Canis lupus familiaris: one gene and its partner. The protein of the gene in region 1 binds, or shares a complex with, the protein of each later gene. Links are inferred from orthologs where the notes say so. Each region holds a gene or a part of one and is shown on either strand. Other genes may lie near its edges.

Region 1 (14,953 bases):
GGAGAGGAGAGGAGAGGGGAGGGGAGGGGAGGGGAGGGGAGGGGAGGGGAGGGGAGGGGAGGGGAGGGGAGGGGAGGAAAGAAGGAAAGAATGAGATCTGGCAAAACTGTAAACAAAGAGACAGCCACAAATCAGCCTTAACATCCATATAGTCACACTGATTGATTAAATAGTTTAAAAATATTAACATCGTGTATGATACCTTCAATCAAAAACTCTTTTTAAAGATTTTATTTATTCTTGAGAGACAGAGGCAGAGAGAGAGAGAGAGAGAGAGAGAGAGAGAGGTGCGGAGACACAAGCAAGCTTCATGCAGGGACCCCATGTGGGACTGGATCTCAGGTCTCCAGGATCACACCCTGAGCTGAGGGTGATGCTAAACCAGTGAGCCACCCGGGCTGCCCCAAAACTGACTCTTATTGAGGTAACTTCTATTGAAGTCTATTTGGACTTACTATGTGCCAAGCACACACTCAGTAACATTGTCCCAGCTGGAAGTAGAGGAAAGCAGAAACAATGGAGGGTCTCCTACCTGCTTCACCTTAACATAGCATTTCTTAAATAGCATAATCCCCTGGAAACTGTTTGAACTGAAAGAAAGGGAAGTCTCCAGGACCTCCTTCAGCATTCTGCCCTTTGCTTGGTATCTCCAAGTAGTGTCACATCAGTGTGGGCTGAGTATTTGGATCTAATGATGTTTCTGGCAGGAGAATGAACATGATTTGCAATCACTGTAACTAGTATGGATTAAAAACTATAAGAATAGGGGCACCTGGGGAGCTCAGTAGTTGAGCCTCTGGCTTCGGCTCCAGTTGTAATCCTGAGGTCCTGGGATTGAGTCACACAGCAGGCCCCTGGAGAGCCTGCTTCTCCCTCTGCCTGTGTCACTGCCTCTGTATGTTTCTCATGAATAAATACATAAATCTTTAAAAAAAAAAAACTGTAAGAATATCATAAGGAAAACAAATAGAGCCTGATAGCTTTTTTCCTCAGGCATGAATGAATGTATTACGAACACATCATCCAACTCCTGCTGTGTGTCAACTGCTAGGATCAAAAAATGCATCAGTTACTGGAAACACCCATACAATTTTATTTAAAAAAAATTTATGGGGGAGCCTGAGTGGCTCCGTTGATTGAGTGTCTGACCCTTGTTTTCAGCTCAGGTGATGATCTCATGGGTCATGAGATAGGGCCCCAATCTGGGCTCCATGCTCAGCAGGGTGTCTGCTTGAAGATTCTCTCCCCCAGCCCTTCCCTCCATGTGCATGCTCATGTACCCTCTCTCTCTTGCTCGCTCTCTCTAAAATAAATAAATCTTCAAAAAACCTTTTCATATAAAAAAACTATTCTCCTATATTATCCTATATTTTATCCAAAATTTTTTTAAATTTTTGCTTGTATGTATTTTGGTTTTGTGTGTGTGTGTGTGTGTGTGTGGTTTTTTTAAATTAAAGTATAGTTGATACTATTATATTAGTTTCAGGTGTACAACAGTGATTTGACAGCTTTATAACCTATGGCATGCTCACTACAAACGTGGCTACCATTTGTCACCATACAATGCTATTATAATACCATTGTCTATATCCCTTGTGCTGTGCCTTTATCCCTGTGACTTATCCCCAAAATGGAAGCCTGTATCTCCCACTTCCCTTCACCCATTTTACCCATTCCCCCCACACATTACACCCCTCCCCCATTGGCAGCCATCAGTTCTCTGTATTTATGGGTCTGTTTCTGCTTTTGTTTCTTTATTCATTGTTTTGTTTTGTTTTAGATTACACATGTAAATGAAATTATATATATAGTATTTGTCTTTTCCTGACTTATTTCACTTAGCATAATATCCTCTATGCCCATCCAGGTTGCTGTAAATGTCAAGATCTCATTCACCATTTCAACCAGGAGGTCACTTCTTTCCTATTTAAAAATGATGATTTTTCCTACTGCATTAGCCACAGGCTTGGGGCTTGGGGAGGATCCGTAGCCCACAGCCTTTTAATTTCTGACTTGTACTCTGAGATCTTTAGGGTTCAAAGAGGGAAGACTAGATCTCATTTTGGGCTTCTATCTCATTTGTACCTACTACTTAATCTTTTCTAGTTAACTTATTTTGTTCTCCAGTGATTGTGTTTAACCATTTTCTCACATGGTAGTTGACAACATAGGCTCTAGGATGAAGCTCCCTAGATTTAAATCTTGACTCTACCACGTACTTACTGGGTTATTCAGCCTCCTTGAATCTCAGTTCCTCACCTGTAAATAATACCTACCTTATAAGGGATGCAATAATGAGCATAATGCATAGCATTATTATTTATTAGTTGTTACTTGGAAGTCCCAGCTGCATTTTGTCTGTTTGTTTGCTGTTGATTTCATGGCTCTCATCTCTAGTGTTTCTTTCTTTAGTGGTCCTTGGTACCTTAATTTTGGTTAGGAGGGCACCTTGGTGCTCAGAGGACTGTTCCTGGAGAAATGTTTTGAGCCCTTGTATTGCCCATGGCCTACATCATCACCCTCCTCTTCTGCAGTACTGCTGCAAGATGACAGCAATGTGGACTGACTATAGCAGGAATGCCAGCAGCATCTTTAACCATAATAAAGACCAGGATTAGCTGAGGGTTTCTAACTAGATGCCCAACTCTTTCCTATTTCCTCGTGTCCATTCATTGAACACATCATCCAGCTCTTGCTATGTGCCAACTGCTAGGATCAATAAGAGTCAAAAGTAGCTCCAAATTCTTAGGGACTCACAGATCCTTGGTGAAAGATAGCCATGGGCATAGCTGACAAGCATGTCCTGGGCATTAAGATGTCCCCCAGTGTGTGCCAGCTGCGTTAGCCTCAGTGGGGAGCTTGTTAGAAACAATATCTGAGGGTGTTTTACAAGAACCACAGTGTTCATGTGGATAATGCCTGGTGACAGATCCCCCAGGGCATGTGGATGTTTGTTTCTCTTGGACCCTGCCAACCAGTCCTCTATTTCTGAAGCAGTGTTTACAGACACAGTCTGCCGGGAAGGCTGCTCCAGCAAAGACTGTGTCACTGCTCTGGGGAATGTTTTCTAGAGCTTCCAGAAATGCCTCAAAACTCAGGACTGGCACAGCAAGTGACTGCTTTGCTGTTAGAGCTCTTAATATGAAGGGCCAGGAGCGACCCTGGCAAACGCAGGGCTGACGTGTGTGGGAACAGTGGGAGTGACCCTGGCAGGGAAGCAGGGGAGGCCTGGATATTGTTTCTCCGTCCCCTGCCCTGCTACTCTCTGCCCCGGGCTTGGAGCTCTCAGGCACCCTGGGATGGCGTTCCCGGGCAGGGTGCACCCTTGTGTTATCCCAGAGAATGAAGAAATCCCCCAGGCAGTCCTTAACAGTGTCCACCAGGCTAATGGCAATGAAGACGAGCGGGCTGTGTCCAAATTACAGCGCAGGCACAGTGACGTAAAGGTCTACAAGGAGTTTTGTGACTTTTATGCAAAATTGTAAGTGTCTCCTCTCCTGGAAGAGGAGCTCCTATCTTCCAGATCTAGTCTGCTTGGGCTTTGAGTTCAGTAGCCATTGATAGTTTTATTTCCTCGACTCTGAGCAGGGGCATTCCAGAGTGATGGAGGGGAGGGAGGCCTATTCCAGCAGGCGGGGAGATACACCAGATGAGATGCAGAAGTAAAGGAAAATGCTGCCTTTAAAGTAATAGTAGTAATGTCTTTGTGTTCAGTAGGTTCCTCATAATAGTACATTTTCATTATGTAGTCCAAGGGGGAGGCTTAGAGTTGCTGCTGGCAGGGTTTATAATAGAAAGATTGTATACTCTTAAACTTCCCACAGATGACAAGTTGGTTGAGGGAAACAGTAAAACTGAATTACAGACTGTTGATAAAGATACACATTTTTGTTAGGTTTAACAGCAATTTGAGGTAGGCAAACTGGATTTCTTAATATTGTCTTAAGGGGATTGAATCAATAAATAAGAATGTTGTGTATTTAGCAAATATAGGTGTGTGTGTGTGTGTGTGTGTGTGTGTATATATATATGCCATATATATGCCATTAACTCTAAAAAGTCTAATTCATGTTATTAAATGAGTTTTAGCAAACAATTTTAAAAAGTAGTGCAAAGTAGTAGTTAGACTCATGGAAGATTGTTGATCTTCCGCAAAGTCATAAGCTTAGAATTAACTGCAAATCCTCAATTTGTCAATCATGAGTTAAGGGGAATTTAACTGACCTGATTCTCTATTTCCATTAATCTATTATGTGTGGTATTATAACAGATGTCCTCTGTTTTCACGACTTATAAAGAGTTCTGTTTAAATGTAATGGGGAAAAAAAAAAAAAATAAATGTAATTGGGCAATTATAATTATACTGTAACCAAAATGCTCTGTGGACTCTTAAGATGCTTTTTGGATTTACACATTTTTTTCGTTTTGATGCCAGCAAATTTGTTTTACATACTTTTAACAGTGAGACACTTGAAAAAAAGCCCAGTGATACCAAGTTTTCTGTGTATGGTTCATCTGTAGAAGTGGATTGGGTAAATCAGTTATTACTGGCCAAATGTGAAGGTTCTGTACTAAAGGCTTCTACATATATATTTCCCAACATATATATTCTTTATCATCAATACTTCTTAGCAAAAATCCTTTTTTGAAAAATTAGCCGACTAATTATAACTAGCCAGATGACAGTTGTAACTATCATTCATGACTTCTAAAATGTAACTTTTATATATAAAAACAGTTATAAACAAATGCATAGGTCACTGTAGATTCATCATCAGTCATAACAGACTACGTTTATGGTAGAGATGTTGGTAGCAGGGGAGGCTTGCACGTGGGGATGAAGGGGAACTCGACTCCTTTTGCCTCAGTTTCACTGTAAACTTAAAACTGCTCAAAAAAACAGTCAATTGAAAGAAATATATAGTGCCAGAGGGTCAAAGACAAGAAAGGAAAGTTAATGTAAACAGTTCAGTAGGTTAGTGAGATTATTAGGGGTTCTTTCCTGAAAGTTTCCTCTAATGTAGTTTCTTTTCTTATCCTGCTTGTTATTAAAAGGAATACTTCTTCAAAAATACATATTATCTCCAAAGCTAGTTTATTTTTCCTGTGTATGAGAAACTGTCTACCTATTTTCTCACTATTTCAGTATTTGAATTAGAATATAAACAGTGTTTAGTACAATGAGTAGGAAACAGGTGACAAATGCTTTGATATTAGGACTGCTTTCCACTCTTAAGGGCAGCCCAGGTGGCTCAGCGGTTTAGTGCCGCCTTTGGCCCAAGGCGTGATCCTGGAGACCTGGAATCGAGTTCCGCATCGGGTTCCCTACGTGGAGCCTGGTTCTTCCTCTGCCTGTGTCTCTGCCTCTCTGTGTCTCTCATGAATGAATGAATGAATGAATGAATGAATAAATAAATAAATAAATAATAATAAAAAGGTATTGAGGTCTGCAGAGAGCTTTTGCTTATCAATATTTACTGAAAATACAAACTAAGAACAAAATTAAATATGTATTCATTTGAGATACATAAACTCATTATGCATTTATTCATAAGTGTTAATTTTTATGAAAAATAACTCTTTCCAAAATGAAAAAAGTTTGGTGGGAAAAGTGGCATTGAATTACATATTTTCAAATCTTCATTAATGACAGTCTAAGACAGTTTCTCAGTTCTGTTTCTGCATTTATCTTAGTGTTATATGTTGCCTTAGATATATATACAAAGAAAATAGGCCTCCCACAGATGCAGGTGGAAAAAGGACCTTTTGAACCCCTAAATGGGTCACAGTGACCCCTATACTTTGAGAACTACTTGATCTAGATAATGGAGCAGGATATTCCAGAATGTCCTTCTCTTCCTGCTTTTTGAGAGTTCTGTGAAAATTATAAGGATCTGGTGAATCTTTTGAGAGGATTCAAAATTAATAATGATGCCTTTATATTTGGGTAGCATCTTCTGGCTTTCAGAGTTATATACTTTTTAAAAATTTTTTCCTCGAAACGATATTAGGGCAGGTGTTGGTTTACCATACTTCATCCAGGGACACCTGCAGATTTTGATTAGGAGAAAGGGGAAGTGCAGACCCTTCCAAGAGCTTTGCTAAAACTGCTACAATTCATCTGGCTTATGCCAAAGCCACATGAAGAAGGGAATGTGACGCATTTCTCTCCATAACCCACAGTAATTTTAAAATGACAAAGTAGAAAATTTATTTTAGTATGAGACTTAGGCCAGATTTGCCAAGCACTGAGGCTGCCTCTCTTCCTTTTTTTTTTTCTTTCTTTTTTTTTTTTTTTTTTGTGATGTTTTAATTCTATATTTAAACCTATGAAGTAAAGTTGAGGTGTGAGTTGATATGTGGTTATGAATGTGGTACTTCTACATGGGGCTCATTATGGAAAGGCTACAGAATAGCAATACTATTCTTTGAAACATTTGGGACAAGAAGGCAAAGGTATCTTCCACTGGGGTGGGATGGAGGTGAGACAAGGTATGTGTGAGCCCTTCTGCTAAGGAAACAGGAAAACTGAGGGGACAAGGCAGTTAATCTGTCTGTAAGATGAAAACTCCTCACCTGCCTGATAGGGTAGCTGTGAAGATTCTAGAGAATGTTGGCCATAACTTTTTGAGGTGGATTGACTCAATATCTGGGTGGTACAGGCTGCACCAGGCAACTAGACACACAGGTAGAGCTTGTACTCTCATTGGGCATCTGAAAATAAACTTGCCAATTGTGAAGAACAAACTGGCCAACAATGACTCTGGTTAGGTGACCTTCCCCACTTCAAAGCCTTTTAGAATGAAGCAGTTCTTTATGTGAAACTCAGGGCTTGTTAGAACGAAATAATTATCTGAGTATATACTTTTCTTCTTCCAGACTCCACAAAGGTTAGTTAGGATGCGGGTCCATTTATCAAGTGCCTCTTGTATGTTTCACGGTGCAGTGGATTGACAGCAAGCGAGAGAGACCAGGTCACTGGGGTCATCGGTGGTAATGTGACTGCCTGATGTGCAAAGTGTGATGGTGTCCCTATCACGTCCTCTTGAGTGTTCAAAATTGATACCGTAATCCGGTTGTGATTTTATGAACAGGGACTCTGGATTCTGGTCCTATGTCTTCCCCTAACTACTGAGCTTCACCATGTCACAACATTGGGCTGGTCACTCCAATTCCCTGAACCTCCTGTGTCATGTCCATAAAAGGATCTTCACAATGTATCCTGTGACTTTAAGAAACAACTTACAATGTTAGCGTTCAATGCTTGTTTTACCAATGAGATTACAGGATTAAGGCAGTCTGGTTTAAGAACTACTTGCGGGCAGCCCAGGTGGCTCAGTGGTTTAGCGCCGCCTTCAGCCCAGGGTGTGATCCTGGAGACTTGGGATCAAGTCTGCATCGGGCTCCATGCATGGAGCCTGCTTCTCCCTCTGCCTGTGTCTCTGCCCCTCTCTCTCCCTGTGTTTTTCATGAATGAATGAATGAATGAATGAATCTATCTTTAAAAAAAAAAAAAAAGAACTACTTGCAACAGTTGCTTTCAGCAGGATCTAACCAGAGAGATAACCTGTGTCAGGATTCAGTGTTCAATTGACATGCAGTTTAGATTCTGTCCTCAGAAGGGAGAGATAGTGGCCTGGAGATGGTGACCTGTGGATATTTTAATTAGGCTGCTTATTTAAGCTGTAACCTCAGGCTCCTTCCTGGAGGGCAAAGCTTGGCTTCTGTCTCTATCCCTAGTTCCTCACAGGAAGTAGGTACTCACAGTATATTTAGCAAGAAGAATGTCAGAAAGGCTAAAGAAAAAGAATCCAAGCAGGAGGCTCTTTGAACACCCACAAAGAGGTGGGAGCAGTTTGAGTTCTTAAGACACAAGAAATTGGGCTTTACGGCTGCAATATGATTTTTGTGATCAGATAGAATGTTCTCCTCAGTTCTTCATGTCATTTGGTCTGAAGTCTAAGAAAAGGTAGACAGTCTGTGACTCCCTGTCCTTTGTGTGTTACAGCAACATGGCCAATGCTCTGGCCAACGCCACCTGTGAACGCTGCAAGGGGGGCTTTGCACCCGCCGAGAAGATAGTAAACAGTAACGGGGAGCTGTACCACGAGCAGTGCTTCGTGTGTGCTCAGTGCTTCCAGCAGTTTCCAGAGGGACTCTTCTATGAGGTGAGTCAGCCCAGACAGAAGCACAGGGCACTGTTTCCTCTGCCCTTCCCCTTGTTTTGAGGCATTCTTCTTTGCTTTAAATTTTGGTGTGAAAATTGTATTGAAGTATATGGTATTTGAGCGATGGCTCATGTGCAGAGTGCCCTGACAGACGCCCCCCATGTATATTGTTCAGTCCGCCTCCCTCTTTCAGAACCCTAAGTACCTTGTGATTCCACCTTTCAGACCTGCACACATCAGCAGAGTCCTTTTATAAACATTAGCCACAGGTTTTTTGGCTTTTCCACTCAGGTCCCCACTTGTATGCCCCCTACACATGCCTTACTAATAATGCCTGCCTCTGTCTTTCCCCAACTCAGAGCACCATGAAATATCTTCTCTAAAGCAGGGCATCCATTACCTACCTACCTTTCATGCAACGAGTAGGAGCTTCCATGCATTTATTTGCTAAGGAGGATTTTGTTTGGTTATTTTGGAGGGATAGTCTGTCCATATTAAGCTATACTATGTATCTTCTTTTCCAAAATCTTTTCCCTTTTTTTAAGATTTTATATTTTTAAGTAATCTCCATACCCAATGTAGGGCTCAAACTCACAACCCTGAGATCAAGAGTCACATGCTTCCCCAACTGAGACAACCAGGTACCCCTCAAATTCTTGTTCTTGATTCTCCTGTGTTACCTCATGGTGTCTGTACTTCCTTTGTATTTCTTCTTACCATCACTGAAACCCCTTCTCACAGAATATGTCTGTTTAGGGGGCTAGTCTATGGAGGCGTGTGTGTGTGTGTGTGTGTGTGTGTGTGTGTGCCCAGTTAGATAGTATACTTTTACCAGCTTATTCCTTACATACTTATATATGTGTGTCTCTCTACAATAATATAGATACATAGAATTATGGTATAGCCAGAAATGGCTGTGCTTTGATTTCTTCTTTGCCTAGCACATTTTTTAATTTCCCTCTTTTAAAAGCCATTCCTGAGGAAGGAAAGGTAATTTTTAACAGTCATTAGTAAGTCAATTGTTTGCCACTCAGACCACATTTTCCCATAGAAACAATGCCTCCTGAGAGACAGGTTTCCAGCCCAGCCTGCAGAAAAGCTATTAAGCCCATCATATGCTCATAACATACAAAACTGCCCTGTATATAATAACATAACAGCTTTAAGAGATTTGATTAGGGAGCACTATTTTATTCACCAGAACATATTTTTGAGCTCCTGCTGTATCCTAGAAGCTGCATTCCCCACTATAAAAACCCTAGCAAGAGGAACAGGAATCCTTGTTCTCTTTGCTTTCATTTCTTCCTCTTTCCCTGGGCAGGGAGATCTCTTTTTCTGTCAAAGGTCATGGCATTGAGCTGGGAATGGCAAGTGACAGTCAAGAGAGGCACAGTAGGAGGGAAGGCAGGGAGGCGGCTGGAGCAGGGGCTACACCTCTTGGCATCAAGGTGACAGGTCCCCCTGAAGACTGTGGGAGAGGCTGCCAGTGGTAATGAGGAGAGTGACAGATTCCTGAAGAAGAAAAGGAAATCTCTAGGGGTCTGGGAAGCAGGGAGAGAAAGGGAGCAAGGGCAAGAAGGGTGGTCCTCAGTCGGGAGTAAAAGGACAAGACCTGCTTCTGTGTCTTGATGGAACACTCAGGTTCTCAGGTCAGCACAGCAGGGGCGTGCCAGGAGGTGACTTAAGAGAGTCAGGAGTCTGCCTCCTGAGGAAATGAGCCTTCATACTCTGTCAATCCCAACCTTACCCCTACGTTTTTCCCCCACTCTAGGCCCACAGAGGTTGAAAAGTCCCTGTAACACAGCAGATCTGTGACACAAATGGGATTAGAACTTAGTTTGGTTACTAATGCCCAATATGGTATTCTTTCCCTTGAATATTCTTTTCAAATCTAAGATTTTTTTTTTTTATTTTATTTATTTATTCATGAGAGACACACACAGAGCGAGAGATTGAGGCAAAGACATAGGCAGAGGGAGGAGCAGGCTCAATGTGAGGAGCCTGATGCAGGACTCCGTCCTCGATCTCAGGATCAGGACCTGAGCTGAAGGCGGCGCTCAATCACTGAGCCATCCAGGTGTCCCAAATTTAAGATATTTTTATTAAAGTGAGTAGTTATGGCAGAAGCCTTAGGAGAGAGTCAGGGGAGCAAAAAAAGGACCCAAAAGAGAAAGACAGAGTTTGTGTTTCCAAACATTAATTCCATATTATATGGTCGGTTTGCCGAGCACTTTGGAATTCATAATGTTGTCAAGCATGATCACCCCCTAAGGTCCTGGTTCTTCATCTGCAGCCTGTCAGTTGCCAGGCCACTTGTGCTTAGTCAGAGGGAAAGCTCTGTGAGAGCTTTTGGCAGAACAGAATAAAGCATGACTCACACTTGTCCTCCTGCCCACCTCTTACTCCTCTTCACTTATGGACTATAAATATGCTCCCTGGATCTGTCTGATATTATTCCAGAATGTTACGAATACTTAGAACTTGTCTATTAATGGGCTGTTGCCCAGGTTAAGGTCCTTGGGATCCTGAGGAAGATTGCTATTTTAGCTATGCTTATCATCAAAACCCCATTTCCAAGGCCAGAAATTTGTAAACCTGCACGTGGAAAATCCAGCCTTTCCTTTAGTTGAATGATATTAGAGAGAAAGCTATCCAAGGCTTCCAAGAAATAGTCTGTATTTTCAGTTATTGAAAAGGAAGCCCCAAAATTTACCTGGCTTGCTTTTCCATGTGAGACACACGTACATACATTAGTCTTGCTGTATCTAATAATAGCAAATGTGGGGTGGCTGGGTGGCCCAGTCAGTTAAATGACCAACTCTTGATTTTGACTCAGGTTATGATCTCAGCATCATAAGATCAGGCTCATGTCAAGCTCCACGCTCAGGAGTCTGCTTCCTCTGCTCCTCCCCTGACTCCGCTCTCACTCTGTCTCTGAATAAATAAAATCCTTTAAAAAACTAATAGTAAATGTGTCCTTTCCACTCTACAGCTTTGATATTGCTTTTGTCTTATTATTAAAACATCATCTTTCCCTTATTTCCATAGTCCCTACTCTTTTCTCCATAGGATTAGTTCTGAAGACTTCTACGTGGGTTCTCTGCACTTACTTCCCCTTGAAAATGGGATTCACTTTTACTGTGGAATGTCTGATACTTTGGATCAGATGGCCAGGATGCTCCTCCCTATGGCCCTGAAGGCGAATCTAGCACTACACTAGTTTCCTACCCACTCACAAAGATGTTTGTCTGGAGGTAAGCTGACTGAGCTCAGCTATTTCTGGCTCATCTGCAGCTCCTCTTAAGCATGAGTTAGCAGCATCCAGGTTTATTACCTGCATTGGCTCCTTAACTCAAGATGAACTTCAGTCCCACCAGATCATGTGGTTCAGCTAGTGAACTTAAAGTTTGCCATCAAGACTGTAATCCATCACCACCAAAGAATAAAAAGTTGGTCTCATGATTCTTGGGCTCCATAGCTTCTGTCATCAATGACTGCTTTACTCAGGGTGTTTTTATTACAAGACCACATCAGTCATGTTCTCAGGACACTCCCATCTGTCTCACTTCGGTTTATCTTCTTTAAGTACACACAACATTTTGTTTATATCTTTAGTTTGGAGAGCATTGTACATGTTTCTTTATATGTTTATCTTCTTTCCCTCTAACTTTAAATACCTTGGTGTCGGGACTGTCCTCATTAATTTGGTATTTCTATCGTTTGTTATACAGTATTTGATGACTACTAGGTGCTTAATAAATACAATCCCGTGTATACGGTACTTGGATAGTAAAGATGGCAAGATAAAATGCTAATATACCCACTAGGAGCCAAGGCAGACATTTTCTAACATACACTTCAAAATCTTGGTACACTTTACTCATTTACCCGTCGTTCATCCCATGAACATTGTCCAGGCTTTGTTGTCCAGAGTGGTGGATGAAAGAAATGAATTCTTAAATAGAAACAAAGGAGATTTCAGTTTTGAGTAGAAGCCTGAGCCATGATGTATTTTCAGTACCATATGTGGACCGCTGACTTGATATGTTAGTTCAGGCCAGTGTGATAGTATTGAATAAACAAACTTTTTGTTTAAAACCTACAGAAAAGGGATACCTGGGTGGCTCAGCCATTGAGCATCTGCCTTGGCCCAGGGCGTGATCCTAGAGTCCTGGGATTGAGTCCCACATCAGGCTCCCTGCATGGAGCCTGCTTCTCCCTCTGCCTGTGTCTCTGCCCCTCTCTCTCTCTCTGTCTCTGTCTCTGTCTCTGTGTGTGTGTGTGTTTCTCATGAATAAATAAATAAAAATCTTTTTTAAAAAATAAAACCTACAGAAAAGTTGAAAGAATAATACGAGTATCATGTGCCCTTGTGCATCTCACACACACATCCTCCACACCCATCTCCTGCCAAATTATTTGAAAGTAGTTTATAGACACATAACACTAAATGCAATTACTTTTAATTTTTGTGTGTTTTGCAGAGGAGGTATAATGGAAGAGTCATAGTGAAGAATGATCTTTGGGAGGGTACTGACCTTACCAAAATCTTCTGTTATTGAGTAACATGTTATATCTAGTTGGGATTTTAATATAATCACTTCTGATACTTAGAGTACTATTTCTTATATTAAAAGCTCCCTTCCTCCCAGTTTGTTTAAATGACTCAAATAACTTTAAACTCTATCTCCAAGAGCATATATTAAATGGAAAAGAAAGAGCACAATTCTCTCTTTGTATATGGACTGGACTTAATGACTCACTTCTGACGGGGCTATAGAAAGGGTAACATAGAGGCACCTGGGTGGCTCAGTCAGCTGAGTGTCTGCCTTCAGCTCAGGTCGTGATCTCAGGGTCTTGGGATCAAACCCCACGTTAGGCTCCCTGCTCAGATGGTGTCTGCTTCTCCCTCTGCCTCTCCCCCTGGTTTGTGCTCTCTTTCTCTCTCTCTCTCTCTCTCTCTCTCTCTTTCTCTCTCTCTCTCAAATAAATAAAATCTTTAAAAAAAAAAAATAGAGGAGGTATAAAGTAGTAACTTTGCAGTGGCAAAACCTAGCAGATACCGTCCTAACCAAGTGATCAAGGTTCACATGACCATTAAGAAATCCTGTTGAGATTATGTACTCCCCAATATGATGCAAGAAATAGAGCACATTAAACCTCTGTGGTATTATCCCTCCAGATCTGCGACTTCAGCCTAATCAGGAGACAAACCCATAATGAGGATCACTCTATAAAACAGCTGACCAGTACCCTTTAAAAATGTCAAGGTCATGTAAGACAGTGCAAGACTGAGGAACTCTCACAGATTGGAGATGACCAAAGAACTTCAGTCTGTCAGACATTCATGAGATTTTCCACAAGAGTTGTTTATTCATCCTTTATTCACCATTTAACAATGTTTATAATATTCATTAGGCAGTTACAATGTGTCAGGCAGCCCATGTTACATTCTAGGAGTAGAATGATGAGCAAGCTGGCTAGAGTCTTAAGGAACTTACCCTACAGTGGGTTAAACTGGACTGCCCAAGATTGAATCATTAAAAGATATGAAAACTTCACAGTATTATAGACTGTTTGGTAATAGGGAGAAGTTAAATCTACCTGAGCACAGACCCCCCCCCCCACCCGCCCCAGAATCTCCTGAAAACTAGAATAGGATGATGTTTATAATGTTTCAGCAGAGTGCCTACTACTTGGTAAAAGAGCTTAATAAATGGAAGATAGTTGTATTTAGAAAACAATCATGATGTGATTTTACAGGTTGTCAGCATGTACATCTGCAACAGCTTCTAGCCTAGTGTCTTGCCTTTAGAGGGTCCCCTGACTGAGAGAAGCTGCCAGTGAAGCCGGCATCCTAGGATTTCTCAGGAAACATGTATCCATAATTAGTCTATTTCAGGACCTCAGCATTTTTCTCAGATTTGTGCAGTGGGTGCAGAGGGTGAATTGTCTTTATCGGTACATGGTCAAAAAAGGAACCTAGTAATTCAGGGTTCCACACGCAATAGAATTACCTCTTCATCTGTGTTCAGATGGCCAATTCTCAAGTTCACAGTGTGTATTGGCAGAGAAGCCAGGAGACCTTTCAATCATGATTTTTAAGTTCTTAATAGAAACCCACAAGATAATAAATAAATAAATAAATAAATAAATAAATAAATAAATAAATCCCACAAGATAATATAAGACCTCTAGGTTATATTCTCTATTAGTCTGCCTAAGAGAGGTGATGGATACAGAAGAAGCCAGCACAGATTTTAGCGTCTGACAGCTGGGGAATGAATCCCAGCAATGCTGGCTTTGCAAGTTATTTAACATTTTTGAATTTCAGTTTTCTCTAACAAGATAATTACAAGGTAGCATGTACCGTACCTAGTAAGTTAGCTCACTCCCTAGTACCACTTCCCGGTGAGTACTGCTCAAATAAAGTAACGCTTGCACACACTAAACCAGGCTTCCTCAAGCAGCAGCACTGTTGACATTTTTTTTTTTTTTTAATTTATTTATGATAGTCCCACAGAGAGAGAGAGAGAGGCGGAGACACAGGCAGAGGGAGAAGCAGGCTCCATGCACCGGGAGCCTGATGTGGGACTCGATCCTGGGTCTCCAGGATCGCACCCTGGGCCAAAGGCAGGCACTAAACCACTGCGCCACCCAGGGATCCCCCACTGTTGACATTTTGAGCTGGATAATTCTTTTTTTGAGAGGCTGTCCTGTACATTGTAGAATGTTTAATAATACCACTCTACCCACTAGATTCCCCAGTTGTGACAACTAAAAGT
Region 2 (15,695 bases), on another chromosome or scaffold:
CAGGGAAAACCTCTTCCAGTTTGACTTTTACCTTAATTTGGGATGCTCGTTTTACTTCCATATCCTGGGCTTTTAATCTATACAACGACAAAAAGTAACACACCAAAGAAAAAGAAACCAGAATGCAAAAGGCAAGTTGCTTAAATACGACAGATACAGATCACAAATACCATTTATGAAATCTATCTGAATGGAGCACACAGACTCCAATTTTCTCTCCATTATCTTACTAGTTACTCTCTCACTATTCTTTAATGGTTACCCTACAGGCTACAACACAATACCTTGATTTATCAAAGTCCAGTATAAATTGTTACCTGTACTTCTTCCCAGTGACTGGACCTTGGAACTCTAACTCCATTTACTCATTTCCTAACTGAAATGTTTTCACTTCTGTGGATTTTAATTTGATTTCTACATTTTTAAGTTCTATAAGACATTATGGTTATTTTACTTAGTTAATATCCTTTTGCTTTTTTTTTTAAAAAAGATTTTATTTATTTGACAGAGAAAGAGAGAGAGCACAAGCAGGGGGAGCAGCAGAGGGAGAAGCAGGCTCTCTGCCGAGCAGAGAGCTGGATGTGGGGCTCAATGTCAGGACCCTGGGATCATGACCTGAGCCAACAGGCACATTCTTAAGCAACTGAGCCACCAAGGCACCCCTAGATAATATCCTTTTGCATTTACCCTTTTGTTTGTGCTTTCTTCCTTCCTGTGTCACCAAGCTTCCATCTGGAATGATTTTCTTTACGTCATATGCTGTAGTTCTGTTTGGGTCTGCTATTAACAATTTTTCTCTGTTGTGCTTTTTACTTTTACTATTTTTTCTTTGTCTACCAAAGGGTAATCTTTTAGAGTCCCAAACTAAAGCAAGTGGGGGAGATTCCTGGGGGGCCCCTGGTTTGGTGGCCCCTGATCATTTGTCAACTTATCCTTGTGAGATTGGCAATTGTCCAGTTCAACCTCCCAGCTTCCCAGCTCCCTCTCCTGAAATTGGGGGAAAGAAGTCCCGGGTGATGGGCTCACTTCTCTGGGGTCCCTTCTTCTCCGAGATTGTGGCCCTGTAAGTTTTGGCAGCTTTCCAGTGCTCTCAAGATTTATTTTACTCTCAGCGTCCAGCTTTTCCAGCTGTTCTCAGTGGGGGGCTTGGCCTGTAGTCTGATGACATGAGAAACTGAATACCCCCTTCCCATCTATGTGTTAGGAATCCTGGAAGCTGTCGCATAACACTTTTGGTCACAACCCATTGATCAAAGTTTATCATAGGACTGCAATATAGTCTTTATTCCAAGGAACCATATCCCAGCTGAAAATTGTGGCTTCTGTAGATATTTGGGAGAACAGATTCTAAGAGCTATAGTATTAATCTCTCAGTTATCAGCTGTTGATCTGAAGCAAGTTATTTAAACTCTTCGAGTTTTAAGCAACTTACCTATAAAATGGAGGTAATGATACCATTTATGAGTCTCCAATGAAATGTAATAATCAACACTTTATTGAGCTAAGACTTGTTATCTGCTAGGCAGATAACAGCAGAGTAGTTTACACTCTTTTGATCCTCCCAACAACTTTATGAGGCTAGTGTTCATTTGTTCGCATTATGATGAGAACCTGAGACATAGAAGTTAAATCACTTGCACAAGATTGCATAGATGCTTGACTGCAGAATGGTGATTCGAACCCCAAACTTTCACCACTGCCTGCTCCTGCCTTGTGAATTACAACCCCCCCCCCCCCCCCCCGCCGCCCCACCGCCTTTCCTTGTTGGAATCGCTGAGGGAAGATGAAAAGACCAGGGTGGGAACAATGCTGGGTGGCTGAGGGCAGTACCTGTTCAACTAGAAAAATGATCTCCTAAGGGAAGGTCTGGGGACAGATGTGACCTAGTCTGAGACCAGTGGATTTTTGAGTGATATGGACCATGGAAATAAAAGGGACCCTAAAGGGCATGAACTGTCATGGCTTCATTTTATATAAAAGAACCACATACACATAGGAAACTGTTGAAAGAATATATTAAGTTCATGTGCCACGAATTTCCAAAGTGAATAACCAGTACCCAGATCAAGAAAAAGAACACTACCAGTCCTGTAGCCTCCCCTCATGCCTTCTCACCCACCTTGCCACATTCTTGTCACTAGCCTCCCTGCTAAGGCTCACTATTATCCTGATTTCTAACACCAGAGATTAGTTTTGCCTGTTTTTGAACTTTATATGACCAGAATCATAGAGTATATGCTATTTTCGTGTCTGATTTCTTTTCACTCAATATTGTGAGTCACATCTCTGTTGTTCCTTGTGGTTGCAAATTGTTCATTCTCCACGCTGTATAATGCTCCATTTTGTGTGACTATCACAATTTATTTATGGGCTCAACTCTTAATAAGCATTCAAACAGTGCTGCTACGAACTTTCTAGAAGGTGTATGGGAGGGCACAGATGTCCTCATTCCTCTTGGGTATCACCTAGATTGAAATTGTTGATCATCGGGTTATGTGTGACGTTCAGCTTTAAGACTGCCTTCACCTCCCTGATGATGGAAATGGAAGGACTGGAAGGGGCAACCATTCATCCAGGGACACCCAGCCACTGAGCCAGGACTGGAACCAGGTTCGCACTCTCTCAGGGCGGTATGTCTAGGTCTAGATTTCATGGAGAGACTGACCTAGAGATTCAGTAGAGTCTCACAGCAAAGCACATTTCATTTGTGAGCTGTCCTTATCATTAACCCTTGGATAAGAGGAGTCCAATGACCAAGCATGAGAAGGGCGGCTCAGCAGTAGGGCCATAATTACAGGTACTGATTTACAGTGGAGAGAACTGGTGCAGGTTCTTCTTTGCAGCTTTTAAAAGAACAGCATGAGGTATGTGCCCTTGATTAAGCAGGATTTAGATTCAATCTATTTCAGTGCCAGAGCCTATATGTAAGATGCTTTCTCAGGTACTAACTCATTTAATCTTCTGAGCAAAAACTAGATCATATCCATAAGGACTATCAACACATAATATCAAAAGAGAGTGAACTCTGTAAGCAAACTGGAGCAATTTGGAACAGCACTTTCCAAATGCTCTATGGTGAAGAACTGATCCATCCCAGACCAATATTTTTGGAAAATACCATAAGAAAAGAATTACCAGAAAAATAAAATGAAAAGATATTCTAAATATAAGCTCCCAATTTTTATTGTCATAGTAAACAAATATAAGATTGCATTGTTGAATTCCTATAAAAGTTTCTAAACACTCTTAATTTCTGTATTTATATCGCTGAGGACCAATAACAGTTTGCAGATCAAGATGGGTTTTCAGGCTACACTTGGAGGGGTACTGATTTATAATCCACTGCTCATTCCCTAATGGGAATCTCTCTTTCAAGAAAGATTGATAATTATCTTAAAGGCAGGAAGGTTTGAAAACAAGACATCTGCAAAACGTTGAGGCCCTAGGAACCATTCATACCCATACAGGTTACTGTTTAATAGGACTTCATCATTTCACTGTCTGTATCAACAAAGCTATTCCAAAAATATCTTTCACAGAAAGGTAAGAGTTACAGATAACTTTATTCTGGGCACCTGGGTGGCTCAGTTGGTTAAACGTCTGCCTTTGGCTTAGGTCATGATCTCAGGGTCCTGGGATGGAGCCCCATATCGCCTCCCTGCTCAGTGGGGAGCCTGCTTCTCCCTCTACCTCCCTAGCCCTGCTCGTGCTCAATCATACACCCTCTCTCTCTCTCTCAAATAAGTAAATAAAATCTTAAAAAAAAAAAACAAATAACTTTATTATGCCTTTCAAGAACTTCTTCCAAAACCTTACCGAAATAAACGTAAGACCCTTAAACTTTTCAACAACATTAAAAAGATTATTTACTCACCAGGACGCTTTAAAAGATTTGCCTTTTTACTTACCAATCCTAAACTAGTATGATCCTTAGCCAAAATTAAACAAGCACCCCCTCATTGAAAGACCTACCTTAAATCAGATTCCAAAACCTTATAAATATCCCCTTCTGCCGTCCCCCAGTCCAAGTTGCTACTCAGACTCTGCCAAGGCAGAGCTCTCCCTACCATGGTGTACAATAAATTGAAGCTTTGTCTTCTCCACAGCTTATTTTACCGGTATTTTCTGGGAGCCAGCTTTCAACAACCAAGACTTTGTTCCTCTTTTTATTTTAGTCTTGCTTAGGTGCTTTCAAACTTTAGTATGCATAAACATCACCAAAGAGGACTGTATATGCAAAAGCACGCACACGCAAAATTTAAGAGACCTCCACGTGTAATTGGAATAGTGCCATATTTAGGACCTATGCCCTGATTACAGATACCAGCAACTGGTGGAGAAAAGAGGATGTGGCAGCTGGAAGTGGCTCTAGGTTTCCAAATATCAATGTGTAGATCAGACCCATTAAATCACCTGATGTAATCCCTGTTAAAAAAAAAAAAACAACAAAAAAACCTATTCCTTGGTTTCGCCTCGGATCTGTTATATTCAGAATTTCTGGGGATGGGGCCTGTGGATGTTTATCACCAATTCCCTACGGGGTTGTTGCACAATCAGGCTAGAGAACCACTATTTCATTTTGTAGATGAAGAAACGGAGACCCAGATAAGTGAACAGAGTTGCCCAAGATCACATAGCTATTGAGCTGATTCCCTGACAGGAGCGCCCAGGGCTGGAGATCAGATGTTGGAGATATTTGTATGTATCCAACATCCCGAAAGAGAATGATTAGTGATATAAAACAAAATCTGTTTTGGCTTCTCCACATCTCCTTAAGATGTATCAGGGTGGGAGGGGGTCATAAACTTTCCTTGCTCCTGGGTAAAATTTTAGCAGTCATCATGACTTCTCTGCTCTCTATTGGGTAAGAGGCATCGACTAAAGTATAATTTTCCAGAAAAAGAAAAAAAAGTAGAATCGTGACTTACATGAAGATAACACGAACACATTTTCCACTGGGAATCTATTGGAGGTCTTGTTAAATTTTTGTTCTCAGGAATTATTGCTTGTCCGTTTGCTGATTAGCTCAAGTGAAGGCGGATGTGTTACTTAGAGCTTTAGGAACACGTCCTAGGAAGGAAGCACGGCCTGGCCCTCTGGGGAACTGCAGTGGGTACTGGGAAGAGATTCAAGGTCCAGGCAGCTACTCCCCTATGGTTTCTCATTAGTCAGACCACCTGGCTTCTTGACCTCACTTCCTAGCTCCCTTGGTTTGCTTCTCTGCTCATCTCCTTGCACGCAGCTGAAAATGAACACTCCAGTAGTGGATCTCCAGGATCACCACCAAGTGCCTGACTCTGACAACAGTCTCTTGCTTTGCTCAGATTCTTGACTGAGCTTATCTGATTGGCTGCTCTCCAGTCAAACATTAGCTCCCTTTGGGTCAGGTGGTCACACAGGGTCCACAGGCTGTAGTTACTTGGAGGAAACACAGTTGCCAAGGGGCTGCAGTGAGGGGGAGAGACACAGTCAGGAGAGCCCAAAATTGGGGGGGAGGGAGCAAACCCAATAAATGTGCCTTTTAATCATTTTCAGCAAGAGTCCTTGAAACCTGGGGCTTGTAGCACTCCTCTGTTAGCCCAAATGAGTCTGGTTGCTATTCTGTTGCTTTCATTTAGGCAGGATAAATTTGGGGTGCGGGGCTGTTTCGCAGGAGCCCATGGTCGTACCTTCCCATTCATGTTTCCACCAACATTTGTGTGATCCTCCTTTGTACACGCCATTGAGATTCTACAAACGGGTGTTTCGTAAGAATAAGAAGCCTCAGCCCTGATGTCACGACCTTCAAACCTCTCCCTCCGGGATGGCGGTGAAGAGGTTGCCCGCAGGAACATGGATGTGCCGAAACACATTTCGGTTCACTCGCTTTCGTGGACACGAGACACAGCCTGATAACTGTACAGGTAGAAATGCAGGGGAGGAGTGAGGGTGTCACCCAATAGCTGGGTGAAGGCACTGGGAGATGGAGTAGCAGCAGGGGCTTCGGTTCGGCGGTCACTGAACCCCGATTTGTGCCAGGATCTGTGTTGGGTGCAGAGCCCGCGGAAAATGTGGCCTCCAGGCTCCAGCGCTCCTGGGCTGGAGGGGGTCCCCTCCCCCACTGCTTCACTCACACACACACACACACACACACACACATGCCTCAAGCCCTGCAAGGGGCAGGTCTGGGGTGCCCTCCCCGTTGCACACACACACACACACACGCACACGCACACCAGGCCTCAGGCCCTGCAAGGGGCAGGTCTGGGGTGCCCTCCCCGTTGCACACACACACACACACACACACACGCACATGCACACCAGGCCTCAGGCCCTGCAAGGGGCAGGTCTGGGGTGCCCTCCCCGTTGCACACACACACACACACGCACACGTACACCAGGCCTCAGGCCCTGCAAGGGGCAGGTCTGGGGTGCCCTCCCTGTTACACACACACATGCACACGCACACCAGGCCTCAGGCCCTGCAAGGGGCAGGTCTGGGGTGCCCTCCCCGTTGCACACACACACACGCACATGCACACCAGGCCTCAGGCCCTGCAAGGAGCAGGTCTGGGGTGCCCTCCCCGTTGCACACACACACGCACATGCACACCAGGCCTCAGGCCCTGCAAGGAGCAGGTCTGGGGTGCCCTCCCCGTTGCACACACACACACACACACACACGCACAGGCACACCAGGCCTCAGGCCCTGCAAGGGGCAGGTCTGGGGTGCCCTCCCCGTTGCGCGCACACACACACACACACACACACACACACACACACGCACACCAGGCCTCAGGCCCTGCGGCGGCCCGTCTGGGTGCCCTCCCCGCTCCGGGCGCCCCGGGGCGCGGGCGCAGGCCCCAGGGGCGAGGGCCGAGGGGCGAGGGCCGAGGGCCGGCGCGCAGCCCCTCGCAGGGCAGGGCGGAGGCGGCGCGAGGGAGGGAGCGAGGGCCGGGACCGGGAGCGCGGGCCGCCTGGATGCCTGGGATAATTCCGCTTCCGTTCGGGAAGCCGCAGCCCCGGCCCCGCCGCGCCCGCCCAGCGCCCGCTCCGCGTCCCGGCCCGCGCCGCCATGGCCACGTCCCCGCAGAAGTCGCCCTCGGCCCCCAAGTCCCCCACCCCCAAGTCGCCCCCGTCCCGGAAGAAAGATGACTCCTTCTTGGGGAAGCTCGGAGGGACGCTGGCGCGGAGGAAGAAGGCCAAGGAGGGTGAGCGCGGCCGGGGCTGGGGGCGGGGGCGGGGGCGCGGGGCGCGCGGCGGGGGCGGGGGCGCGGCCTGGGTCGGGGTCCGGGGCCGGGGCCGGGAGCGCCCCGCGGGTCGCAGCCGCCGCCTTCCCGCTCGGGCTGGGGGGGCCCGCGGGGTCGGGGGCGCGAGGGGGCGGGAGGGGGCGGGAGGGGGCGGCCGCGGCCCCCAGGCGGAGGCGCCCCCCACCCCCACCCCCGCCCCGGGCGCTCCCCAGGCCCCTGCGAAACTCTCCGGGGCCCCGCACCGTCGCTCGTTGCCGTCGCAGGCCTCGGGGTGAGGGCGGCTCGCGTGGGGCGCCCCGAGAGCCCCAGAAGCGGAGGTGGCCTCTGGCTCTCGCCCCCCCGCCCCGGGGTGCAGTAGGGACGTGCGCCGAATGAATGAGCGGCTCCCCGAAGCGCTCGGGCCTCCGGTAGGGGCACCCCTGCACCCCAGGGGAAGAGCTGGGTTAGGGGCATCATCCCATGCAGCAGCATCGCGGTGGGACCCTTCTGTGCACTCAGGAGCTGAGGGCTCTTGTAAAAAAAAAAAAAAAGAAAAAAAAAGCATCGTCTTTCCCCCACCAACCAGGGTGAAATGAAGCGACCCCCCCCCCCCCCTCCAATGTGCATGTAAGATATTTTGTCTCATTGGCAGATGTCACATCCCGGTGTTTGGTTTGAAAACCGAAGTGACGGTTCAGGAGAAGCTCTAGCCATAGATGCGTAGATAGAATTTTTCCTAGACTGCTTTGGTGGTTTGGGAATAGCCGTTTTTGAAGGCTGGGGTGGCCGGGATGTAAAGCAAGTTCCCCGTTCCTGAGTTATCCTAGAGCATCAACGAGGACTTCCGTGCTGAGAAATTGTCGGGCTTCATACAAAGAGCTACACGTCTATTTTCTGTGTTGGAGGGAGAAGCAGCAGAACGCATCCCTCGAAATGTTTTTCCTGATTTGGCTATCTTGGTAAACCGCTGCCTGCGAAGCGTACAATTGGGAGCAAATCATGAAGTCGTGGCTTAGAAAGGCCCCTTTTGCCCTCCTTTTGCCTACTGTGTTCCTCCTGTGGGCTCTCCAGCTAAGCATAAACAACTCAGAATTTCTGAAGCTCCGTGACCTACCGCGTGTGCTCAGCCCACCTCTGCGACTCTTTAGAAAAGTTTGTTGTAAAATTGCACAGTTTGTGGGGCCAGGAGAATGAGACCGATGGTGGCCTTTCACGTTTCCCCGAGTGGTTTAGCCTGTTTCCCAAAGTCTTCCCTTCACCAGTACAAGCATCTTCTGTTCCAGGAGGTGGTCGGTCCTCATAGGCATGATTTTATGGCCTGCTGGCTTCCTATCCCTTCCTTTGCATTTGGGAGCCCTGCAGGAAACAGAAGGTCTACTCAGTTGGGATTTTGAAAATACTATAGAGAAGGGACTATTTTCAGAGGTGAGGGCAGGGGTAGGGGAAGCCAGAAAGGATAATAAGGAACCTAGCAACAGACATGTGCAAGCTGTTACCACTCCTAGACCTGGGGTGTAGGGACAGAGGAGCCCACCAGAACCCACAGAGAGCTGGAACTATGGAAGGGGGCCTGCCTGGCAGGAAGTGTAGCTGTAGAGGGACGCAGCGACTGTCAGTAATGTGCAGATGGAGCAGGGAGCCATTGGCACAGGAGATACTCTGCGTCTTCTCTCTTCTTCCCCTTGAATCCCTTGCAGGTGCTTCTGATTGGCTGGGCCCAGTGGAAAGTCACCGGGCAAGGTATCTGGACACTGCAGTGTGTAGGGGTCAGCTCCCTCAGGGCAAGGAGCAGAGCAGAGATCATAATGGGGAGTGGGGTGGGGGGGTGTGCAAATAACCAGCAGGCCCTTTCACAGTGAGCTGCCCAGAAGCCCACATAGTTTGCTGTGCTCTAGTCCTGCCCACCCAGCTTAGAACAGGGCTGTCCCCTCCTTTGTTCTAGCACAGACACCAGGTTCTAGTAATGCAGCCAAGGCTGCTTTTCCTTATTTTGTCAGCTGTATCACACTGTTCTCTCTCGTTGAGTTGGCTACCAATTTACTCAAAAGCATTTTTGTGTTGCTCCTGAACCATCCCCTTCCCTATCTCAGATTTGCGCAATTGGGGATTTAAAACCAGGTGCTAATGTTTATCTTTGCTATACTTAACTGTTAAGTCCTGATTCTGTTATTCAGCCTATTAACTAATCCAGGAGATATAAATGGTGAGTTGGCTGCTTCTGAAGAAGCCCACCACCCCCCAGCCCCGGCTGCTTGCCGCTGCAGGTGGTAGTTCTGCGAGCCCAAAGAAGGCAGCTGGGTTGGTCTGAAATGACCTGCTCTTGGTGAGCGTGTGCTGGATCTCGGTGATCAGTGCTTGACCTTTCCCAGGCCCTGCTTCAGTAACAGTAACCATCACTTCAGTAACAGTAAGGCTAGATCTTACTCTGGATCTTGTGTAAACTCACAGCTCTGTGCTTTGCAGAAACTGCTTTCTTCTATCCCCCCCCCCCCGCCCCCCATGTTCTAGAACGTGATTCTTCAAGGTCACTGATGTTAGCCTATCCACATATTATCCCAGTGCTTGAGCACTGAATTTTCCTGGCTCCACAGACTGCCATTCACTCACTTGACAACTGTTGTGTCCCACGGTAGGACACAAAGATTGGAAACATGTAATACATGTTAGAATAGTTAGTCAATAATTTCATATAAAAATAGGTCTTCCTACAAATACCTACTACGTACATCATAGAATGACTATAAAGTCTCATAAGACTATGTCAAAAGTAGTCATCACTCCTGTGTTTTCAATAAGAAGAAGTAACCTTAGAGAAAATGGAGGTTAAAAGTGTGGTCTTTGGGACCAGACACCTTTGGGTTTGTTTCCCGTCCAGCCCCTTATTTATTGCTGTGACTTAGGACAGCGTCCTTATCTCTCGAAGTCTGTTTCTTCATCTATAAAATGGGAATAAAGTATGTAATATGCATAGCATGATATGAATAATGAATGGTAGCTCTTAAAATTGATAGCTCAATTTGACATAGTCTTTAAAATTTGAAATAGTCTTTTTGTTTCGGACTGCAGAACATTTTACAGGTTCTGCAGACAGCCTGGTAGCTCATGACTGTGTGAAGCCCTGGTAACCCTGCTTTGGTCCCTTTGGAAATTAGAGATCTTTCCTTGCACGTCAGATACTCCTGTTTCCAAAATGTCATATTTCTGCATTTAAAAAAAATTATCCATTTGAGAGAGAGTGCATGCGTGCGTGTGCATGAGCAGGCAGGGGGGTGCAGAGGGAGAGACCCTCGAGCAGACTCCCACTGACTGTGGAGCCACAGGTGGGCTCAATTCCACAGCGCTGAGATCATGACCTGAGCCCAAATCTGGAGTCAGACGCTTAACCGACTGAGCCACCTGGGCACCCCATACTTCAGCATTTTAGAATATATAGTCCCATTTTCATGATTTGTCATTGAAGTGGCTTTTGTTCTTCTCTGGATCTTCTCTTTGGCAGTTCCAGCCCTCCTTCATGCTATACAAAGCCCTCTTGTGTAGGTTCTTAGAATAGTATTTTCAGAGTCCTTTGCCAAAGGGCCACCTTTCATCTTTCTTTCTCCAGATCTATCCTCAAGACTTGCTCTTTTCAGGGACACCATCTATTTTTTTTTTTAAAAGATTTTATTTATTTATTCACGAGACAGAGAAAGAGAGAGAGGGAGAGACACAGGCAGAGGGAGAAGCAGGCTCCATGGAGGGAGCCAGATATGGGACCCAATCCCGGGACTCCAGGATCACGCCCTGAGCCGAAGGCAGGTGCTCAACCACTGAGCCATCCAGGCGTCCCCCAGGGACATCATCTTGAATTGTATTTGCCAGCTGGAGTTGCCCTCAACTGAGTGAGCAGGAATGATTATTCCTATCACTTATCCATTTATTATCCCTTAGAGTTCTATTTGTCCAGTGCTTGAAGTGTCCAAAAAGGGCTTTAAGAATTTTATAATAATACTTGGACTTACCACTTTGGTCCTCATTGGCCTTCCAGTGTAACTGGGGAAAAATCCCCAAACTCTGCAACATATGTCTGGTTCCAGGAGTGGGGGGGAGCCCCCAGCACTGCTGAGCAATCCTCTTCTTCCCGAATCATTTTCCAGAGTGCTGCCTCAAACCCTCACTACTCAAGCTCCCCCCTACACCTTGAGATAGAAAACTGAGTACCAGGTATGAACTTGTTCAATTTCCCTTTCTTTGCCCAGAGCTACACTTTCTTTCATGCTCCTGCATGCTCCTGGCCTGCTCTAGTCCCTTCCAAAGAGGTCCCTTGTCCCCTTGTTTGTCAGGCCCTCCATTTCTGGTCCCTCCCAGACCTGGCATGGCCAGATGCCCTTGGTCTCTTTCATGCTGCTCTACCCCCTAACATTCTATAAATATGCTCAAGTCTTTCCCATTTTTTTTAAAGATTTTATTTATTTATTCACGAGAGACACAGAGAGACAGAGACACAGGCAGAGGGAGAACAGGCTTCATGCACAGAGCGTAATGTGGGACTCGATCCTGGGTCTCCAGGATCACGCCTTGGGCTGAAGGCAGCGCTAAACCCCTGAGCCACCCGGGCTACCCAAGTCTTTCCCATTTGAAGAAGATCTCCTGATACTGGTTTTTTTCTTAAGCTACTCAACCTCCGGTCTTGAAAGAGTTGCCGTAACAGCTTTCCCTTGCTTATCTTCTAGTCACTTCCTGACCCACTATCCTCATTCTTTCAGTAACCATTTACTGAACTCTGAAAAGACTAGTCTAATTTAAACAAGATAAATTGGTAGGTTATGTGTGTTGTATTAGAGAAGTGATAGGTGCTTGAGAGCAAAATAAAGCAGGGAAAGGGAACAGAGTGGTGAGGGTTGAGAGATGGTTGGCAATGTAAAATGGAATGGCTAGAAAAGCCTCTCCTGAGAAGGATATTTCTGATAAGGACCTGAGGGAGGTAGGGAGAGAGCCATAAGTATATCTTGGAGAAGAGCACTGCAGACAGAGGGAATGGCACATGCAAAGGTCCTGAGGCAGGAGTGGACCTGCTGATATGTCAAGGGCCAGGAAGGAGGTCACTGTGATTGGAGGAGAGAGTGGATACAGTTGTGGAAGGTAGTGAGGTCTCAGGGATTAGACTGAGGGTAGGGGCGGGTTGCGCAGGGCGCTGAACACCATTGTATGACTGGGGCCTTTATTCAGAATGAGATGAACAGGTTTCAGGGGTTTGCGTAGAGGAATAACATGACTGCACTTCTGTTCCAGCAGGATCACTCTGGTGTGGTGCCAAGTGACTGAGGGGACAGAGGTGGAAGCAGGGAGATGAGGTCGGGGGGCAGTGGGGACAGTGACCTGAGCCGAAGGCAGACTCTCAACTGCTGAGCCACCCAGGTGTCCCTCAAATCCACATCTCAAATCCAGACCTTTCACCTATAGTCCAGACACATCTGTCCACCATCTCCCAGGTGTATCACTAGCTCCTCCAGTTCCACATGCCCTCGAGGGCATTGCTACCTGGGCGCTTGCCCCAATCTCCTCTTCTTCCACCATCCCATCAGTTGTCTAAGGCCATGGTCTTCCTCTATCCTGGCAACCTCTTCTTAAAGGGCAAATAGTAAACATTCGAGACTTTTCTAGCCCCCGTGCCTGTCCTCAATTCTGCCCTTAAGATCATGGACAGTAAGTGATTGAACCTGTGTGGCTGTGTTCCAGTAAAATTTGAGTCGTGGGCCTGGGAATTTGAATGTCATGTAATTTTCATATGTCACAAAATATTCTTGTTCTTTCCCAGTCATTTAAAAATGTGAAAACAGGGACGTCCAGGTGTGCCCGGGTGGCTCAGTGGTTTAGCTCCTGCCTTCAGCTCAGGGCATGTTCCTGGAGTCCTGGGATCGAGTCCCACATCAGGCTCCCTGATGGAGCCTGCTTCTCCTTTTGCCTCTGTCTCTGCCTCTCTCTCTGTCTCTGTGTCTCTCATGAATAAATAAAATCTTTAAAAAAATTCCAGAACGTTTAAAATAAATAAAAAAAAATAAAATAAAAAAATGTGAAAACCATTCTTAGCAGGGGGCTGAACAGAAGTAGATGGCAGGCTGGCATAGCCCATGGGTGGTGGTTTGCCCACCCCTGCCGTATTCCGTCCCATGTGCAGCCCACTCTTCAGGAGGCCTGTGGATTTTGCCTTCCGTCCCCACCTCAGCTCAGGCCCCAGAACTGCTCTTTGTCATCTTCGAGATTCTTTCATTTCTTTTCTAATTTTACCATTTTTATTTTTCACCTGAAATGTTACAATATCCATCCCGCTAGTCTCCCTGTCTCTGGTCCTTTTTTTGTTCAATTCACCCTTCATGCTTTTGCCAATATACCATTTTTTGTTTGTTTTTTTGTTTGTTTGGTTTTTTAAACACAAAGATAATGCCCTCTCGGGGCAAACTTCTTAAGCATGGTACTTAAGACCTTCTCGGTTGCTCCCCTTCTGGTCTTGCCTCTGTTTCCCTTTCAAAAATCCTCCATTTTAGCCACACCAAAACACTGTATTCCCCAAATGCATCATGTTCTTTCATGTGTTTTAACCTGTATATGTGCTGTTTCATATTTCTGGAATGGAAAGACCTTCTCCCTTTCCCTATACAACAAACTCCTACTCAATCATTAAAACCCAGTTTGGATATCCCCTTCTGCTGGATGCCTTCCTTAGCTCCCCCAGGGAGTGAGGTACTTCCTTCTCTGTGATCCCCTGCCACCTTGCCCGTGGTTCTGTTGTAGCACTGGCCACGTTGCACCGTGACCATCTGTGGGTGTGCACATCACACACCATGGTGAGAGCCCCCTTCCTGTAGCCCTCCTGCCCAGCGTAATATTTAGTGCATAATGATACCGGAGTTTTCATGCAATGAATTTCCCCATATTTACCTTGGTGAAAATAATCCCCTGCTAACTGGTTGTGTAATCTTAGGCCTTTTCCTCTTTGGAAAAGGATTTCTCACATCAGCGGATTAGGCTACATAACCTCTGAGAGCCCTTGCAGCTCTGGTATTCTCTGATTTCTGAGCTCTCATTTCACCAGGCTTCTCTCAAATTCAGTTTTATTGTCTGTGTAGGGTGGTCTGGGAATGACATCATCACAAAGACCTCTTTCTTTCCTCCACTAATGAAGGCACCTCTGTGTCGGGAGGAGGAGATGGGAGCCAGGATAAGCGGGCCCCGGCCCAAGGACACCTCCATATTAGGAGTCGTTGTCTCATGGAATATCTCTATTTGGTTAACAAGCACTGTTCATAATTATGTTTTAACCATTACTACAGAAGAGATGAAATCCTCATGTAAACATGTGTAAGCATCTAAAATCCATTGACCATTTACTGTCATGGAAAAAAGAACGCGTTTGGGGAAAGCTCTATACAATTTTAGTAATTAAAAAAAACGTTTAAAAATAAAATACTTTAAAAGGGGGTATAAACCTTCTGTTAAGTTTTCAGCATGCTCTGCAGCCTGAAATCAGACGAACTTCTCCTTCAAAGTGGAAGGTGAAGGTGTTGTCTGATTCCTGGAGCCCCCGGGACAAGGAGGCCTCATCTGGCTTAGGTCCCCTCATCCCTTCCATTCTTTTCCCCGTGGTCTCTGGGAGGGCGGGAGCTGTGTCTGGCCTGCTCACATTGGCACTGATGTGCCTCCCCGGCACCAGGTTCTAAACGGATACCCTGCAAAATGGTGAACTAGCTGCCTGAATCAGCAGTGGGCATCTGATTCCTCCTGAGGGTGTCCCCAGGTTCCTTCTAACCCTCTCTAACCTTGGATGACCATTTTGGTCCCCTGACTCCATCCAGGCCTCAACTTCTGGCTGTGTGTGCACGTGTGTGCATGTGTGTGATGAACCTGCCTCCTCCCGCCGGGAATCTCTTTACCCTTTGTGGAAGGACATTATCACTTGGCCCTGCTCTTCAATGCTAAGCACGTGCAGGCCCTGGAGACCAGAAGTTTGGGTCCTAGTACCTATGGGCAGTGATGGTGCAGTGGAGGCAGGGAGCCTGCCGGTCAAGGGTGGCAGACCGGTCTGAGTGTAGAGGCTGGTATTCTCTGTTTTCATCCCGAAAAGCTTGCTCTGTGGAGATGGCACTGCACATTTTTGTGACAGTGCTTGAATGATGCAGGACTGAGGTGAAACAGCCTCTGGGCAGAGTCTGGGGGAGACCACAGAAAGGTCTAGATCAAAATTCTGCAAGAGGTTCAGAATTCCTGTAATTCCCCAAAGCTTGCTGGTTCTCCTCTCTGACCTGCCTGTCCTTTCCTGAGCTTCTCAGCTTCCATCCCTCACTAGGTGCCAGGGAAATCTGAAAACCAGCCAGAGCAGGGCTTCCATCATTACTCCTGTAGCAAAGGTGCTCCATCCCTGCAATGCTCCCCACTCGGACCCACCAGGGAAAAGGACCTACTCGAAGGAGAGGCTGGCCCGATGCACAGTCTGTGAATTGTAGCTGCTTTACC

What was found.
Region 2: LIMS1 (region 1) and PARVA share a complex: the UniProt entries of both Homo sapiens proteins name them as parts of the heterotrimeric IPP (ILK-PINCH-PARVIN) complex. The link is inferred for Canis lupus familiaris from reciprocal best matches to the Homo sapiens genes LIMS1 and PARVA.

The regions. Positions count from the first base shown.
Region 1 is NC_049231.1:36,267,786-36,282,738, reverse strand, and holds the start of LIMS1 (LIM and senescent cell antigen-like-containing domain protein 1), read left to right. Parts: upstream 1-3,230; 5' UTR 3,231-3,299; coding exon 3,300-3,481; intron 3,482-8,008; coding exon 8,009-8,168; intron 8,169-14,953. UniProt on the Homo sapiens protein: Within the IPP (ILK-PINCH-PARVIN) complex, binds to F-actin, promoting F-actin bundling, a process required to generate force for actin cytoskeleton reorganization and subsequent dynamic cell adhesion events such as cell spreading and migration.
Region 2 is NC_049242.1:35,979,743-35,995,437, forward strand, and holds the start of PARVA (alpha-parvin), read left to right. Parts: upstream 1-7,026; 5' UTR 7,027-7,054; coding exon 7,055-7,190; intron 7,191-15,695. UniProt on the Homo sapiens protein: Plays a role in sarcomere organization and in smooth muscle cell contraction. Required for normal development of the embryonic cardiovascular system, and for normal septation of the heart outflow tract.